Linked DNA regions of Caenorhabditis elegans. The protein of the gene in region 2 purifies or fractionates together with the protein of the main gene of each other region. This does not show direct contact. Each region holds a gene or a part of one and is shown on either strand. Other genes may lie near its edges.

The links. The genes of interacting proteins can lie anywhere in the genome.
Region 1: the proteins of C25F9.5 (region 2) and lin-65 fractionate together in Caenorhabditis elegans (co-fractionation; one large-scale study listed by BioGRID). This does not show direct contact.

What each region holds. Positions count from the first base shown.
Region 1 is NC_003279.8:1,753,402-1,758,377, reverse strand, and holds the start of lin-65 (uncharacterized protein), read right to left. Parts: upstream 3,050-4,976; 5' UTR 3,049-3,049; coding exon 2,916-3,048; intron 1-2,915. Other genes in the region: Y71G12B.10 (hydroxymethylglutaryl-CoA lyase), read right to left, coding at 4,063-4,379.
Region 2 is NC_003283.11:19,407,210-19,412,755, forward strand, and holds C25F9.5 (SNF2 N-terminal domain-containing protein), read right to left. Parts: upstream 3,649-5,546; 5' UTR 3,547-3,648; intron 3,405-3,546; 5' UTR 3,391-3,404; coding exon 2,742-3,390; intron 2,515-2,741; coding exon 1,915-2,514; intron 1,842-1,914; coding exon 1,444-1,841; intron 1,073-1,443; coding exon 798-1,072; intron 750-797; coding exon 530-749; 3' UTR 503-529; downstream 1-502. Other genes in the region: C25F9.4 (SNF2 N-terminal domain-containing protein), read right to left, coding at 4,144-4,189, 4,436-4,835, 4,893-5,546.

The DNA.
Region 1 (4,976 bases), on a different chromosome or scaffold from region 2:
GCATTGAAACCTGTTTGGTGGCCTAGAAACCTTTTTGGTGGCATTGAAACCTGTTTGGTGGCCTAGAAACCTTTTTGGTGGTCTAGAAACATTTTTGGTGGCCTAGAAACCTTTTTGGTGGCATTGAAACCTGTTTGGTGGCCTAGAAACATTTTTGGTGGCATTGAAACCTGTTTGGTGGCCTAGAAACCTTTTTGGTGGCCTAGAAACATTTTTGGTGGCCTAGAAACATTTTTGGTGGCCTAGAAACCTTTTTGGTGGCCTAGAAACATTTTTGGTGGCATTGAAACCTTTTTGGTGGCCTAGAAAAATTTTTTGGGGGCCTAGAAACATTTTTGGTGGCCTAGAAACATTTTTGGTGGCATTGAAACCTGTTTGGTGGCCTAGAAACCTTTTTGGTGGCCTAGAAACATTTTTGGTGGCCTAGAAACCTTTTTGGTGGTCTAGAAACATTTTTGGTGGCCTAGAAACCTTTTTGGTGGTCTAGAAACATTTTTGGTGGCCTAGAAACCTTTTTGGTGGCCTAGAAAAATTTTTTGGGGGCATTGAAACCTGTTTGGTGGCCTAGAAACATTTTTGGTGGCATTGAAACCTGTTTGGTGGCCTAGAAACCTTTTTGGTGGCCTAGAAACATTTTTGGTGGCCTAGAAACATTTTTGGTGGCCTAGAAACCTTTTTGGTGGCCTAGAAACATTTTTGGTGGCATTGAAACCTGTTTGGTGGCCTAGAAACCTTTTTGGTGGCATTGAAACCTGTTTGGTGGCCTAGAAACCTTTTTGGTGGTCTAGAAACCTTTTTGGTGGCATTGAAACCTGTTTGGTGGCCTAGAAACCTTTTTGGTGGCATTGAAACCTGTTTGGTGGCCTAGAAACATTTTTGGTGGCATTGAAACCTTTTTGGTGGCCTTGAAACCTTTTTGGTGGCCTAGAAACCTTTTTGGTGGCCTAGAAACATTTTTGGTGGCCTAGAAACATTTTTGGTGGCCTAGAAACCTTTTTGGTGGCCTAGAAACATTTTTGGTGGCATTGAAACCTGGTTGGTGGCCTAGAAACCTTTTTGGTGGCATTGAAACCTGTTTGGTGGCCTAGAAACCTTTTTGGTGGCCTAGAAACATTTTTGGTGGCCTAGAAACCTTTTTGGTGGCCTAGAAACATTTTTGGTGGCCTAGAAACCTTTTTGGTGGTCTAGAAACATTTTTGGTGGCCTAGAAACCTTTTTGGTGGTCTAGAAACATTTTTGATGGCCTAGAAACCTTTTTGGTGGCCTAGAAAAATTTTTTGGGGGCATTGAAACCTGTTTGGTGGCCTAGAAACATTTTTGGTGGCATTGAAACCTGTTTGGTGGCCTAGAAACCTTTTTGGTGGCCTAGAAACATTTTTGGTGGCCTAGAAACATTTTTGGTGGCCTAGAAACCTTTTTGGTGGCCTAGAAACATTTTTGGTGGCATTGAAACCTGTTTGGTGGCCTAGAAACCTTTTTGGTGGCATTGAAACCTGTTTGGTGGCCTAGAAACCTTTTTGGTGGTCTAGAAACATTTTTGGTGGCCTAGAAACCTTTTTGGTGGCATTGAAACCTGTTTGGTGGCCTAGAAACATTTTTGGTGGCATTGAAACCTTTTTGGTGGCCTTGAAACCTTTTTGGTGGCCTAGAAACCTTTTTGGTGGCCTAGAAACATTTTTGGTGGCCTAGAAACATTTTTGGTGGCCTAGAAACCTTTTTGGTGGCCTAGAAACATTTTTGGTGGCATTGAAACCTGGTTGGTGGCCTAGAAACCTTTTTGGTGGCATTGAAACCTGTTTGGTGGCCTAGAAACCTTTTTGGTGGCCTAGAAACATTTTTGGTGGCCTAGAAACCTTTTTGGTGGCCTAGAAAAATTTTTTGGGGGCCTAGAAACATTTTTGGTGGCCTAGAAACATTTTTGGTGGCATTGAAACCTGTTTGGTGGCCTAGAAACATTTTTGGTGGCATTGAAACCTGTTTGGTGGCCTAGAAACCTTTTTGGTGGCCTAGAAACATTTTTGGTGGCCTAGAAACATTTTTGGTGGCCTAGAAACCTTTTTGGTGGCCTAGAAACATTTTTGGTGGCATTGAAACCTGTTTGGTGGCCTAGAAACATTTTTGGTGGCATTGAAACCTGTTTGGTGGCCTAGAAACATTTTTGGTGGCATTGAAACCTGTTTGGTGGCCTAGAAACCTTTTTGGTGGCCTAGAAACATTTTTGGTGGCCTAGAAACCTTTTTGGTGGCCTAGAAACCTTTTTGGTGGCATTGAAACCTGTTTGGTGGCCTAGAAACATTTTTGGTGGCATTGAAACCTGTTTGGTGGCCTAGAAACCTTTTTGGTGGCCTAGAAACATTTTTGGTGGCCTAGAAACATTTTTGGTGGCCTAGAAACCTTTTTGGTGGCCTAGAAACATTTTTGGTGGCATTGAAACCTGGTTGGTGGCCTAGAAACCTTTTTGGTGGCATTGAAACCTGTTTGGTGGCCTAGAAACCTTTTTGGTGGCCTAGAAACATTTTTGGTGGCCTAGAAACCTTTTTGGTGGCCTAGAAAAATTTTTTGGGGGCCTAGAAACATTTTTGGTGGCCTAGAAACATTTTTGGTGGCATTGAAACCTGTTTGGTGGCCTAGAAACATTTTTGGTGGCCTAGAAACATTTTTGGTGGCCTAGAAACATTTTTGGTGGCCTAGAAACATTTTTGGTGGCCTAGAAACATTTTTGGTGGCCTAGAAATCTTTTTGGTGGCCTAGAAACCTTTTTGGTGGTTTTTTTTTTCACAGGTTTCGGAGGCATTTTTCGACATTTTTGGCCATTTTCTCAGCTAGAAATTCCAATTTTCGAGTTTTAAGGTAATTTTTAGCGAAAATTGCAAATTTTTAGTGCAAAATTCAAGGTTTTACTCAAAAAATCTCACCTTTCTGCTCAGTTATCTCCATAATTTCTCCATCTTCACCCAAAAGCTCAGCAATCTGATCATCATTTAATGGAGGTATTGGATCATCTGAAGCTTCTGTATTTAAGATACTTTCGTCGATTACTTCTGACATTCTGTAAAATTTTGAATAATTTAGAATTTTAGATGGGAAAAAATGGCAAAAAAAAAAGGATTTAAAAAGTCAGAAATTCAAAAAAAATTATTTAAAAAGTTAGAAATAGCCGATTTTTCAGGAAATATTCGAAAAATTCAGGAAAAAACTTTGAAATCAGGGGAAAATCTCGAAAAAAATCAAAAACAAATCTGAAATTTTTGGGGAAAACAGTTTTTTTTTACGAAAAAATTCAAAAATTTTGTGCAAATTTCGAGAAAATCCAGAGAAAAATGTGGTTTCTTGATTTTTTTCAAACAATTTTTCGAAAATCTCCAAAAAATCGTGAAAAACTCGAGGAATTGAAGGGAAAACTAGCAACAAAAAATCACAAAAATTGAGAAAAAAATATAGAAATCAGCTGAGAACTGGGGAAAACTCGGGAAAAATCTAAATTTTTGGGGGAAAATCAGAAAATTTTGGGGAATAACTTGCTTTTTTCGAGAAAAATTTCAAAATTTCGTACAAAATCCCAGAAAATTCAGAAAAAAAAATGCGGTTTTTTGATTTTTTTTCAAATAATTTTCCGAAAATTTCCAAAAAATCGTAAAAAAATCGAGAGTAGAATTCGGCTGAAAACCGGCAAAACTCGGAAAAAATCGGAAAATTTTGGGGAAAAAACCAAAAAAATCGGTAAAAACCTGCTTTTTTTTGAGAAATAATTCAAAAATTTGTACAAAATCCCAGAAAAATTCTGAGAAAAATGCGGTTTTTGAATTTTTTTTTTTGCAAACAATTCAATTTTCCGAAAATTTTCAAAAAATCGTGAAAAAATCGAGAAATTGAGGGGAAAACTAGCGAAAAAAAATCACAAAAAATGAGAAAAAAAAGATAGAAATCGGCTGAAAACCGGCAAAACTCAAGAAAATAAAAATCTGAAAAAAGTCTCTAATCTCTTTATTATTTCCTAAACAACCGGGGTAATTTTTACACGAATTTTTAAAAATTTTTTTAAATTTTTTACAGCACACATTTTCAGCAGCAGCTTTTGCTCTTTTTAGCCATCATTGCAGCTCCAACTCTCGACCATTTATCATATCCGGCGGCTTCATTAAACCATTTTGCAGTTTCGACAACTTTGTCCAAATTGACACCAGTTTCAAAACCGTTTCCTTTCAAAAAATACAATAAATCTTCAGTTGCAAGATTTCCAGTTGCTCCTTTCGCATATGGGCAACCACCGAGCCCTGCGATACTTGAATCCGCACTTCGGATGCCTTTTTCGATGGAAATGAGCACATTTGCGAGAGCTTGACCGTATGTGTCGTGGAAATGAACTGCGAGTTTTTCGGCTGAAATGGTGGTGATTTTTTGAAATTTTTTTTTCTTTCGAAAATAATTTTTTTTCACAGTTTTCCCGACTTTTTTCGCCTGAAAATCAATCGATTTTTCATTGAAATAACTCAAAAAACGATAAAAATCTCAATTTTCGCTGCGAGACCCACAATCTGTGGGGAAATTGACCGAATATCATGATAAAAAAATTCAAAAAATTTTTTCTAGATTTTATAAGATTTTTTTTTGATAATTGAAAAAATCTCAGTTTTCCCCTAATTCCTATTTGAATTACCGCCAATCGGATTTGACCGATGGAGCGCGCTTGCATTATTGGAATTAATTAATTTTATTTATTCTCATTATTCGACTGAATTTCTTCATTTCTTCTGTTTTTTTTTGTTGGAAAATGAAAGAAATAAAAAAGACATATGCAAAATGTTTGTTAAAAAGTAACTGAAAATGCCTAAAACTGTATTTTTTTTGAATTCTGACGACGGCAAGCCTGAAATTAGTATATTTTACAGTTTTATAAATAAAAATATATTTTGTAAAACTGTGAAATATACTAATTTCAGGTTTGTCGTCGTCAGAATTCAAAAAAAATTACAGTT
Region 2 (5,546 bases):
CAGCATTTATTTTTGGGTATCGGTATTGGCAGAACCTTTCTGATGATGAAAGAAAAGTTTCAAATCCAATAATACTGCAGTATAAAAGTGATGTACAACGATATCAAATGAGATAAACTACCAGATGCACAATAAAGGATGATAAAGCTGAAAAAGTCAACTTCCGACCGCTGCGACACGGAAGAGTGACCGAAATTCGAGGTTTCAGCTATAATCAGTGTACTTTTTTGAAAACTTTGAACCTGCGAAATTCGTTCATTTGAGCAACTTTCAAGTCTCTTCGTCGTAGAATGAAATATTTGCGTTGAAGTTATTTCGCCAACGAGGTAGTAAAATGAATTATTTGTTCATTACAAGAAACCTGAAATGCAAATGCAATAATAATACAATCCTCAAGAATTCTTCATATCTTATTGATGGTATTATAATAGCTAGGAGGTCTAACAATACTTGTTTTGCCACTTGTTTTGAAAATGCTTATCAAATGCTCAAAAACTGTAACAATACAAGGAACATGAAACATTTATTATCAACACGTTACTTTGTTGTACAAAAATTTATCTTTCCCGATTGTCACAAAATAATTTTTTGACAACTTCAATATTTGTAAATCAGAAGCTTCCAACTGTTTCCAAATTTTTTCGATGTCGGCTTTATTGATGCATTCTTCCATGCTCTTCACCGATTCTAGAATGTAATTTCTCAGCAGCAGGTTTGAATGGCTCATAGCGTATGCTTTCTTGCGACAACTGAATTTTTAGTGTATCAGGAATCATGGAAACAATAAATTGTCTTACAGTTTTGCAAATGTCCAGGCTCTGAGTAGACGTCCACCAGTGTCGTCTGTAAAAGAGTCGACAACAATTTCCATGAGTATTTCTTGTGCATTTTGGCCCGAAATCTCGAGTTTTAATCTGTCGAGAAAGAACTTTCTCAAGCATACAACAGCTGCGCCCCAAATGAGGTAGGAGAAAATCACTATATCGGGAGGATCCTGTTCCGACATTTTTTTTGCTTTCGTCAAGAGTACATCAAAGTCGTAGATGATATACGAAGGTGTATACGTAGGTAGCTGAAAGTATGGTTTTTTTAATACTTTTTGAAGGCACTTGTTTATGCTGGAAATGTGTAACCATTAAAAATGAAGTGCACCCATGATAAAAAGTAATTGACGACTTTGGAAGTCGTCAATTTATAGAAAAAAAGTCTTCCAGTCTTATGTTCTAATTATGTTTAAAACTATCAGCTACCACAGGATTGGTTTTCAATAATTTCCCCACAGACGGAACTATTTTAAAATCAAGATTGAATCTAATTTTTGAGAAAAATTGGTGAACATTTTGTAAAAACAACTTGACAAGTATTTGAGATTACCAATTTTCTACATAACTATGACCCAACTCACAGTAACTCACAATCAGACTCATTTTCACACTTACTTACCAAGTCCTGCAATAACTTCTTTTCGATAAGTACATTGCGAATTAAATCAATATGAGCATTCTCGGTCAAGTCAATCGATTTTTTCCACCTATCAACAATATCATCCATCTCATCTCGTGTGATGAAAAATGAATCGTGTTTACACGCAGTATGATTCCAGTTTACATCAACCCATAAACGAATTATCAAAGCGGCTGCTGATCCATCAAGACCAAGACACATCATCTCATACATTTCCTCTAAACTCTCATCTTCTTTGAGCCAAATTTCGAAATTTTTATAAAAGAACTCTTTGGTGTAACTGACAATTGATTCCCACATATCATTGGAAAATTGACAACAATCATTAGCTTTTGATGCTTTTATTGCACTAGTCATGAGGGTAAAATAATATTTTGCTGCAAACAGTTTTTTAATTTAAAAAAAATACTAGAGGAATTGATCTTCTGTTTATTTTTAAAAAAAGCTTACTAGTACTTAACAAGTGCAATTTTTGCTCAATGTTATTCACGACTACATCTTCTCCAATTTTGTCATTGTTCCCCTTCAAGAAATGAGCTGAGAAACGGTGTGTGTTTTCTTCAGTCAGACACCAACGGTGCATCACGGATAGTTGAAGAAGTTTTTGATAATGCTGGTTGCATTTTGCATTGGCAAGAGAAAATCCATAGAAAATAATTCGTTCCCATTGAATGTACTTTTTATAACTTTTTTCAAACCTGTCATAGGTAGTAATAACGACTACATGACTATTATTTGACTTTTTGGTTTCATTTCCATAGTAGTTGATTGCAAGATAATCTTCTTTCAAAAGACTTTCAAGAAGTTCCTTCCAAGGTTTTATTACATCGGGTGACATAACCAGTAAAGTTTTTCCCATAGCCCTACTACTTCTTTCGCTTTTTTCGTCTTGATCCAGAAGGAATGCAATGATTGATTTTCTTATCTCATCTTCATTCATTCCATATGCCGTTGTTCTATATGTAGATTCTGCTTCACATTGCGCTAAACTATTTGTAAACTCCTTTTGACGGGGTTTCAAAACAAAGTTTATCCTTTTCATTTTCAATTCTGTAAAAAAAGACACTAAGTTTACTATGTTATTTCTATCTTCCCTTTGGACAATTAGACCTGGTTATTTTCTTTTTTGAGTCACGAATATATATGTACATACATATGTATACATATATATTTCAGTTTGTGTGTATTTCGAAGGGTGGGCTAACTTTATTCCTAAGGAGACGCTAATATTATTATTTATTACTATTATTGTCAACATTATTATTTTTAAAACTCACCAGTACTTGACCAATACAGATTAACTTGCTCCAAGTCTTTCTCAATGTCCTTCACAAGAAGTTTGTGCTCTTCTAGACTTTTGGTGTTTTTAAAGGAATCAACATCATACATCTTCAAAAAAAAAGCCAAACTATGTTGTTTGAAATTTTCCGTAAGGCACCAACGATATTTTGATTTAAGTTCGCAAATTGCTCCAAATCGTAAAGTGTTAATGTCACTAATCTTGTTTGCTTCATAAAGTATGATTCGTTCCCAATCGACAGCTTTAAAAATTGGAAGGTTTGATTTTGTCTTCAATGTATCGTAAGTAGTGATGACGATATCATTTTTAGCAAGTTCATTCGAACTGCGAGACTTTGTCCGGTTGTAAAAATAGGAAATAAGAAGATCATCGTCTTTCAGAATGCCCGCCCTGATGAATCCATTGAATTTCAAATTCCATGACTTTATCCACTTAGGCGTCCCAACGATTAAATTAATATTATTCTCAGAAGTTCCTTGCTCCTTTTGTTCCAGAATATATGAAATTATTACTTGATCTATTTCACTATCACTCGTGGGTACAGTGATTATTCCTCCGCTGTCTTTTCTATTTTCAAGTTTCTTCAAATCTTGCATTACATTCTTCATATCCGAATCAGAACTCATCCTGTTTTTTGGTTCTGTAAAAAAGACAGTTTCCTATATATTTCACAAAATCGTTAAAAAATATTTTGTTCACTGAACATGAGAATGTAGAAATTTTTTTCTTATACCATCTTATTATTTTCGCCTCACGTTTTTGCTTGGGAAGCATTAGCTTACCTTTTCAGAGATATACTTCCTAATAATTGATAAAGAAAGTGAATCGAGAGTCAAAAAGACGGTGTGTTGTATACACACACGTACTGCGTGCTCACTCAACTTGCTTCCAGTTCTTCTTCTTATCGCTCTTGATTTCGAAAGAATTGTTTGTCATCGACAAAGACAGTTAAGTAGTGCCTACATCTGATACTGATGAAATCGAGATTAAAAGAACTTGTGATATGCTGTTCATTCAAGACTAATTTCCGACCACGCTATAAAGCTTAACCGTTATGAAAAAAGAAACTGATTGGTTCGTGAAAAGCTCTGGTCCACAAATTCATGACATTTAATTAAATATTATATTTGCAATGTCGACCGTGGAATTATCATGGGGATATGTTTAAACCATCTTTATTTAAAAAAGAGAACATAGTGGGATTATTGGGACTATAAAAGATATAATTTAAATTTCATGTTTGTATAATGTATACGCATTTTTAAATATAAAATAACAAAGCACTTGTAACAATTTCATCTTTTTTTTCACAAATAAAAACAATTGTTAAACATGATTCCCGTTTTTTTGTTGCATTTTCTATATTTAATTGGCATGGCTTAAGCTTTTGAAGCTTTAACTTCCTCTATTGGTCGTTTTCCACTCCTGAAATTTTTATGATTTTTTAAAGTTTAATAATAGAGACAAAACACTGTCTTTGTTTTCAAAATGAAATTATAAGAAGCAAACCGTCCTATTTTTCACTCAGAATTATAACGCTCGAACGAAGAATGATTTTTCGTTTTTCTAAGCTTACACAATAATAAATCATATTCGTAAGCTTCAAAATAAAATCTAAATTTTGCATAGTCAGGGACCTTGCTAAAATAATTTTCTTGTTAGACAACTCACCTAGCAGCTCTCATTTGGTTGTAGCTTTCCTCAATAGATGTTTGCGTAGCTTTCTCAATTATTTTGATTGCTTTCTCAAAATTTTCGATAATATTTTTCATTGCTGTTTTCCCAATGAAACAACGATCTTGCTCGCTTTTGGAAAAGTTAAAGTGCGCGTCCACCCATATTTTCATAATAAGACCGACATCCGACGTGTTTTTAAAACCAGCACAAAATGAATCATACATTTCTTCTATATCCTCATCACTTTCTGCACAAATTTTGAAATGTTTGATGTAGAACTCTTTGGTGTAGCTGACTATTGCGGCTAACATATTGTTGCAAAATTTGCTGATATTGGGCTCATTTTCGTTTTTTTCTTTTTTTGCATTAGTTATGTGTTTTTTATAATCATTCGCTGCAAATTTTAAAATGCTAATTTTAGTAAATTGAATCGAGATTTTATACAACTTACGACTTCTTGGGAAACGCAAGGTAACTTGCTTCAAAAAGCCTTCAATGTTTTTAACCAGTTTTGCAGTGCTTTTTTCTTCATCGTCTTTAGCATTTCCCAAAGAAATTGATTTTATCAAATTATGACTTTCACCATATTCTTTCCGATTCATAAAACGAGCCAATTTTTGTTGCGTCGGATTTTCCGTCAGGCACCAACGATATTCCGCATGTAACTGGCAAAGAAATGAAAAAAGTAATTGATATTGTTGCCTGTCTTTTTCGCTCGCTGAATAATTATCCTCGAAAATAATTCGTTTCCATAGAATGTTCCGATTTTCAATATTTTTGAGCATGTCGTAAGTAGTGATAACGACTTCATGACTATCATCTGGCTTTTTGTCTTCATTTCTATAGAAGTAGTGAATCACGAGATCATCTTTTTCCAAAAGTTTTTCGAGAAGTTTCTTCCAAGATTCTATCATATCGGGTGGCACAACCAGTAAAGTTTTCCCCATCGAATGACCATATTCTTCGCTCGTATTCTTTCGATCCAGAAGAAATTCAATAATTGCTTCCTTTATTAGAATATCTCTAATCAGAGTTGTTATAACTCCTCCACGGACAGGCTCATTTTCACGTTGAGCCAAATTACTCTTGAAATCTTTTTGACGAT